Linked DNA regions of Rattus norvegicus. The protein of the gene in region 2 interacts with the protein of the main gene of each other region in a pairwise test. Links are inferred from orthologs where the notes say so. Each region holds a gene or a part of one and is shown on either strand. Other genes may lie near its edges.

Region 1 (4,053 bases), on a different chromosome or scaffold from region 2:
GGAAGCGTCACTCCCAGTTACATGTTTGTCTTTCCGCCGTTGTAAATACTCCTGCACTGTTATAACTCTAGTACTCTTCAAGGAGCTGCCCTTAGAGTCTGAGGACTCAGGACTTGGGATAGCGTTCTCTTGAACACTGGCTCTTTCATTGGATTCCCTCAGAGCACTGCACAATTTGAGTGTCTCTCCAGCGTTTTTGTTCTGCTCTTGCTTTTCATATTTCTTCTTTTTTATCTCCACATCTGGTATAATCATGTTGTCTGTCTTTCTTTTTTCAAAATATTTCAGTCTGGAGCCACCTGCTTTGAATTTTAGTTTTTTCTTTTCTGGTGACACAAACTGTACCAATGAGGTGTTCCTCCTGCATGGATCTGTATTTGAAGGAAGTTCTACAGGTGCTTTTACTGGATTCGAATCTTGGGAAGTGGGTTTTCTCTGTAGGCTTTCCTGAGAAGCTTGTTTAAAAAATGACATATTTTTATCAGAATTGGAAGTTTTTACATGAAGTATTTCGGGGGTTGCTATTTTACTGCTTTTTGAGGGATTTAGTCTGTCACATTCAGATGAAGTATTTTTTAGTTTTTGCTCCATTTTCAGTGAGCTATCATGTCTCATTTTTAAATTATCTTTATCTTTTTTGTAACATTTAGCTGAAAAATGTTGCTGTTCCTCTCTGCTGTCTTTTGTTTTAGATCCTTTGGTCTTATCACCATGCATTTCAGAAAAATGGCCTTTCTCAGCTGCTTGGGTCAGAGGAGTTTTGGGGTTATTAGAAACAGGATTAATTTCAAAAATAGTGATTCCATTATTACAGGGCTGCTCTCCTTGTTTGCAGCTGTTCATATCCAAACACTGGTCTTTCCCCTTCTCTTCATTGGAACTGCAATGACACTTTGGCACACCCTCATAAACCATTGAGAGCCAACCCAAGGCACAGCAATGGATTTTGTCTTTCTCTGGGTCCAACATTCCAAAGTCATGGCTTTCTTCTCTGGGGACCTGTGAGTCACATGGGCTCTTCACTTCTGCAACATTTTTCCCCTCAGGTTCTGCCAACTTGTCTAAGTCACAGGGCTGATCCTCTTCGGGAAACAGTTCTTTGATTTGTTCAGAGTTTAACACTGTAATTTTTATTTGGTCTGTGCTATCCCCAAACACGTTACTAGTCTTATCGCCAGTTTCATTTTCTAAGATTTTGTGTGTCTTTTTTTGGTCCACAGACACTTCATGCCTGCTAACAGTTTCAATGCCATAAGGGAACTCTTTTAAAAGTTCTGACAGCTGGTCATGTAGGTATGAGACAGGTTCACTTTCATCATTAATCTCGTTTACTGCAGGCAGACAGTGGGCTGACTTATTGCTTAAACTATCAGTTTCCTGAGGGTGAGGATCCTGCTGAAAACCAGCCGGTGAACAGACATCCTCAGCTGTGCTTTCTTTTCCACCACTGCATTCCCTACCGCTTTCCTCTATGGTTTCTGTGTTTGCTTCCACGTACTCACAAGATGCTGGCTCTTCAGGCTGCAGCACCTCTGGCTGCTCAGTGATCTCACGAGGAACATATGTATACCGTATATACTTCTTATCTTTCTGAAGGCTAAAGTCTTTATTTTCAGTGGTGCCATCTACTTGTTCTTGTTGATTATTAATTACCTGATTAGGTGAAGGTTTCTCGGGCTCATTTTGTACAGAGTTGAATATCTCTGCTATCTGGGAATTGTAAGATACATCCCCTTCTGCAAGAGAACAGATACTTTCAATCTGTAACATGGGTCCACTCACTGTGGTGCTATCCACAGAGTTAGGCACAGCTTCGGTACCCAGGGGAGAAAGTTTTCCTAAACCATGATCAGCTATGTCTGGATCACCCTGTGTTGGTTTATGCTGCTTTTCCTTTTGAGCAGGCAGAGACATCTCCACTGACAGGTTACTATCTGCTACTACTCCTGTAATGTGAAAAGGTAAAGCAGCAGTTTCTGCCTGTTGGTGTTGTAAGCTACAAATACTACCTTCCTTAACAACTGGATACGGCGGTTCTGGTAAAACTTCAGGCGCTAACTCTTTTCCAGGTAAGGGATTAGTATCTGCAAGAACTAAAGGTGACACCACAGCAATCTGAAGCTCTGTTCCTTTTCCAACAGCTACACCTGAAGACTCACCACTCGGAGTGAGAACTGACAATATTGTTTGTGATGAGCTCAGCAGTTTCTGAGAATTCCCAACACCAGAACAAAAACTCTTAACGTGAACTTCGTTTGTGGGATGTGAACTGCCAACTACCGTTGTACTGATTCGTGAGGTGTTACACTGTTTTTCTTCTAAAGGTTTTGGGACATTTTCTTCTGTGGTTTTTGGAGGTTGGTTTTTCCAAAGAGAAAGGCATGTTGCTAGCAATTCCATGGAGCAGTCGTTGCCATTTTTAGCAGACATTTCTTTTGCTGAAAATTCAGAATGCTGAATTGGTTCAGTATAAGAAGTATTGGCTGTTTTACTACAACCAGCTGCCATCAAAAGACTTTTATTAATTTTAATTTTTCTTGCAAGTTCTGTAAACTTCTTTTTTATTTCTACTAGTGATTTAATATCCCTCGCCAGTTTTTCTTTTGTGGCATTTGTGTCTATTACTTGATTTGTACTTGGACTGTAGGGATATTTTCTTTTCTCTTGATTATTTTGAACAAGCGCCTGAACACCATCCCCAGAAGATCTAACAGTGTCACTATAAGACTGCTTGGCATTTATTTTCAAATCAGAGAATTTTCCAATGGTGAATGATTCATTGGGGTTCTGCCACTGCTGTTTAAAGCCTCTGTAAGAATCTTGCTTTTTTTCAGATGAGTGCACTTCTGGACTCTGAGGGACTTCCATAGGCAAGTGTTTAGAAACAGGCTGAGTATTTTGTACATGTTGGCTTCCATATCTACAGCTGTAAGGAAGGGCAGAGAGTCTTTTGCTGGTTTCTGCAGCATATGGATGTGAAGACAAAGGTGCAGAATGCTTTGACTGTAAGGCCTGTGTGTAAGTTGGAAGCGGATTATTTTTAACTTGTAATGATGTAGTGGCTGGCAGTATGCGGGAGTATTGCTTCAGAGGTGGCCTGTATTCTGGATAAGTTAGTTCACTGGATGTATACTGTGTCCAGTCAGCCAGCTGATCTGGTATGAAGTGATTGAGTCCCTGATTTCCTTGATACGCTACAGGAACTTTTCCAGAATTAAAAGGAACCATTTGCAGTTGCATAGAATAGGTATCTGATGTGACGAGCTGACTCTGTGGTGTTTGCATGTAAGGCATATTAGTCCTTCCATCAGGATTATGGGATATGGTTGCTTCTGTATGGGAAGGCATAAAATTCTTCACGGATGAGCCAAACCAGACATTCTGCATAACTCCTGAAGACACTGTCTGCAAATTGTGGTTTGGTTGTTGGGGCCCTTTAACATTTGTACATACAACTCCTTCCATTGAAGACTGTGAGGTCACAATTGTCCTACTAGGCATGTTAGAAACAGAGATCTGAGTCTGAGGAGTCATATAATTTCTGCCGCTCAGAAGTGGCTGGGAAACTGAATTTGAGTTACTGGAATACATGCATGCTTCTTGGTTATGGGCAGGATAGCTAAAAGAACTTTGAGAAGTTGTAGAAGTCATTAAAAACTGTTGTAATATAGATGACTGCGTTTTAGAAAACTTTGGGGGTTTGGCAACAGCATTCTCTGGTTTTGCATTCCAACTCATAGTTGATCTGGCTTAGCAGTATTGTAAAGTCTGTGGTTTTGAATGTCATAAATCTGCAAGAAATGCAAATAAAGATCTTTCATTAAAAACTTTTTCTTCCCATCCCCCTACCGCACCCCCCTTTTGGAAATAGTCTTTTTGACCTAGAGCTCCTTCTGTAGACCAGATTGGCTTCAAACTAAGGGTAATCACACCGCCTAGACAAAACTTAAACAACAAAAATAGAAGCAAACCATGTCTATGGTAACTAAGAAGGACCTCAAATTAAAACTCTGTACCCTTAAATCTGGAAAGAGAATTAGTAATGGAAGCTGC
Region 2 (4,053 bases):
CACACACACACACACACACACACACACACTACTATAATTTTTACTTGTTTTCGAAACAGTCTCACTATGTAGCCTTGGCTAGCCTGAAACTCTCTATGTAGAGCAGGCTGGCCTCAAACTCAGAAACTGTCTGCCTCTGCTTCCCAAGTACTGGGATTAAAAGCATGTGCCCTGCATCCACTTAGATACTAGAACTTCTAATAAAAGTTACCACGGAGCTACCTACTACAGCCAAATATTAGTCCAAGTGGAGTATGCTTTCATTGTCTGTTATTACACGGCAACTAAGGTGGGAGTGACAGAGGCACACCATCATATGCTAGTCCAAACCTCCCAGCAATTTTTTCCCTCCGTCTGGAATGGAAATCTCCATGCTCTTTAGCCCTTCTGCTAGTGACCCGATGACTAACTTCGACAGAGATGATCTTCCTTGCCATTTTCAACAACACATCACAGGCTGTTGCAACATTCTCATTTTTAACATGCACCACTCACATGTTAACATTTCATATTAGAGTTTCAGGAATGAGGAGCATTCATTTTATACAAAGCCATTAGTTTAAAAGGCAAAGAAGCAGAGGGAATGAATAACTGCACTTGATAACCAATAGTTAAGGATGCAAAAGGACCACTGTCAGCTGACAGACATTCTTGTCATCATTACACACATGGGCAGCATCACTGCCAATATCATTAAAAACAATAAACTAAGACAAATGTGTCCTATGTGACTTTTCAGTTGACTTCTTGCCACTTTCAAGTTCAGTGAAATGTTGAGGGCGTCTGCCCTAATCTCCCCCTCCCATGCTTAATAAAACCACAGTGACAGCTGCATTCCCAAGGGTGTCTGTCTCCCTGCCCTGCATGTTGGGCTGCTCATGGACAGGATCAGTAGCATTTATCCCAAAGCAGTGTCCACTCTGCACCTCAACCACCAACAAGTAATTACTGAAAAAACCAAGGAGCTGAGAGACAGGGAGAAGGGCAAGCAGAACGTGGTTAATGCCTGTCTGGATAAATGGGACATTTAAAAACCATTACAATTATAGTTAATGGGTAGCTTCAATCAGTAAGTTAAGCTGAAAGCATAAATACTCTGCTGCTAACTTTGGCAAACTTTATAGACATCTGAAAACAAATGACAGAAGCTTGAGCGGATTTGATGTACTCACAGGAACGGAAAGAAAGTAGGACCTGCTATAGAGCTGAAGGAGGGCCTGAGTGAACTAGTTGGAAATAAGATATAATAAAGACAATCATTTCAGGATACCTCAAAGAAAAGCTGATGTCTTCAGAGAGAATTTATTCATTATTAAGATTTCTCCTGATTTTTCTGTTCAATATGGGTAATATAAAAGACAAAAAACCCCCACAAGAATCTAATTATATTAACTATTAAAATACCTTTTGTTCAAATTTTATAAGGTGCCCGTGGCATTATTAAAATATCACTCCCATATTGATAATTATAACAACTCTTTCCAAAAAGAGAGGCAAGTTTATAATATGGAGACTTAATCAACTAAAATTCACAGCTGAACTGTTATGCTTACATGAACATGCCGTATTTGACTACACAACCTATGAAACATTAAAGATAAGGACCCAAGTCTGATTCTCACCTTGAAACACTGAAGCACACAAAGGCTGAAAGTTAACAGGTGCCTGCCAACTGTTTATGTAACTATGAATGGAGCTACCTGACTCCTAGGGTCAGTTTCTGCTGAAAGGAGCTTGGCGTCTGTGTAAAGGTTCACCTAAGTCCAAGGTACTTCTGTGAGGAACTATGCACAGATTTCAAAGTCTTAAAACCACAGACACGTGTGAAGGAATACACTATAGCCCCAGTGAACACATTCGATATTTGGGGGAATTTCAGTTTAGGGTAACATATAAATGACCAATGGAAACATGTCAGTTTTAATAGTAAATTAAAATTACCTGTTGAACAAAAACATTGTTGAGATGACTGGCCAGTCTCCGGGCAAAATGCTCCCTCAGCTCGCTGAAGCGCTGCTGCTGCTGCCTGATGGCCAGGAGCATGTCATGGCCTGTGTCAGAACAACAGTCCCTCAGTGACTCGGTACGTGCAGGCAGTCTCCCAGTGTGCATGTGGAGGTCGGAGGACAACTCTGTGGACTCTCTTCTCAGCCTTCACCTTTGCATGGGTTCGAGTGATCCAACTCAGGTCACCCAGCTGTCCAGCAAACCCCTCTTCTTGAGGACCATTTTGTTGGCCTTTCTCCATGCTTATCCCTCCATGCCCATCCTCCCCTGACCCCGGGGCACCCAGAGCCTTGTGCATGTCAGGCAAACGGTCTCTCACTGAGCTGTAGCTCAGATCTATACTATGCTAATGATACCCAGACTTAACCTTTGAAGAATCCAAAGCTTTTTTATTTGCTCTATAAAATTTAAAAAGGAGGAAAAGTAACACAACATACTGGTTCTTCTTCAGCATCTGCCTGGTAATCTTTCTCAATGAGTGCTTAGTTGATCTGACTGCACAGTCAGGTTCTGGAACCACTGCCTAGGAAACCCCATCTTCTCTGCCCTGGCCCAGCGTCTACGTGTGCTCGCCTGCTTCTGCTAAAGAAGCAGAGACTGACAGGGCGGTGAGATGGCTCTGCAGGTGAAGGTGCCTGCACATACCTGGACACCTGAGGTCAACCCCAAGAAGCCCCGTAAAGGTGGAACAAGAGAACTGACTCTACAAAGGTGCCCTGTGACCTCAACATGTACATTGTTACACACAGTGTACACGTGCACATATATGTGTGTACACATACAATAATAAAGTCACATTTTAAACAGGATTATGGTAAAGCCCTGAATGGTGGTGCCTGCCTGCTCTCTTAGCACTTGAGAAGCAGGGGCACTGTAGGTTTGAGGCCAGCCTAGGCTATGTAGTGAGATGCTAAGCCCCCAACCAAAAGTAAAGCTAGATAGATCAGAATGATAGATTGTGAAGGTAAGATGGTCCACTAGAAGGAACTGAAATGAAAAAGTTAGTGTTAATAGAAATCTGTTGGAGAATCTGTTAAACCCATTTGTATAGCTAATAAAGTAACCCTAAATCACTTAGCCCAAGTTACTTCTTGTCAAAGTATTTCTACCAAGTCCCAGTGTTAGTCTGGGTTCTCAGATTTTATTATGGCTACAGCACACACCTGGTCGAAGGGCGACGTTCATGCACTGCAGAAGGGCGTCAGCAGCATTGGTGCAGGCCTCAATGCCTCTGGAAGAAGCAAGATCTCCATCCTGAAGGGCCTTTACATGACCTTTGGCCAAGTCCATGTGGTTCTGGAACATATTCAAACATATCACTTGCACGTGTAATTGTGGGGGAAATAGAGGCAGGGCGCTACTCAAGCCTATCACTCAGTCTGCAATGACTCTAAATCCTGATCTCACAAGGAGGTTGGTTCATACATGAGCTTTACACGACATTACTAGTCGTCCTGCTTTGCCCCCCTGGTCGCCTATGAAGACGCTTACCACAAGGAACTCTATCTCAGACAGGAGCTTCACGTTATTCGTGTTGCTCAGGTGGATCAGGTGGTTGCTTTCGGAGATCTGGTCCATTTGCTCTTTTACACTTTGGAGCATTTCCTCATAACTGCTCAGTTTCAGTTCAATCTGGTCCACCTCCTGTAGGGCCTCATCCAGCAACTGCATCAGGATGTTCACCTGCTTTTCAGAGGCCATGATTGACTGAATGTTGGCCTACAAAGTAAAAGAAAATTGAGCAGCTCTTGCTGTTTGACTGTGTTCGAGAGCAGAGGTGAAGGGCGGCCAGAGCTCTGTGCATCTAGTCAGCAAGTTTCCAGTTCACGCTCTACACAGAGTGTGGAAGGCTCACTGGCCTCTGCACTGAGGTCTGAGAGCATGCTTCAGAAACTGTGCAGATATCAGAGGCTCTGTTCTAATGAAGCTCTAGATCCCGCTCCCTCTCCCACACTTACCCTGCTCCCCACATTTATTTCAGCTACATTTCTCTCGTGATAATTTGTCCTTTTTACCTTCTTAAAAACAACAACAACAAAAAATGCT

Evidence for each region. The genes of interacting proteins can lie anywhere in the genome.
Region 1: the proteins of Exoc1 (region 2) and Resf1 interact in a two-hybrid assay, tested with the Homo sapiens proteins (2 studies listed by BioGRID and IntAct). The link is inferred for Rattus norvegicus from reciprocal best matches to the Homo sapiens genes EXOC1 and RESF1.

The regions. Positions count from the first base shown.
Region 1 is NC_086022.1:184,083,605-184,087,657, reverse strand, and holds part of Resf1 (retroelement silencing factor 1), read right to left. Parts: intron 3,792-4,053; 5' UTR 3,739-3,791; coding exon 1-3,738. UniProt on the Homo sapiens protein: Plays a role in the regulation of imprinted gene expression, regulates repressive epigenetic modifications associated with SETDB1.
Region 2 is NC_086032.1:31,996,931-32,000,983, forward strand, and holds part of Exoc1 (exocyst complex component 1), read right to left. Parts: intron 3,727-4,053; coding exon 3,499-3,726; intron 3,304-3,498; coding exon 3,171-3,303; intron 2,052-3,170; coding exon 1,942-2,051; intron 1,227-1,941; coding exon of another isoform or gene 1,173-1,226; intron 1-1,172.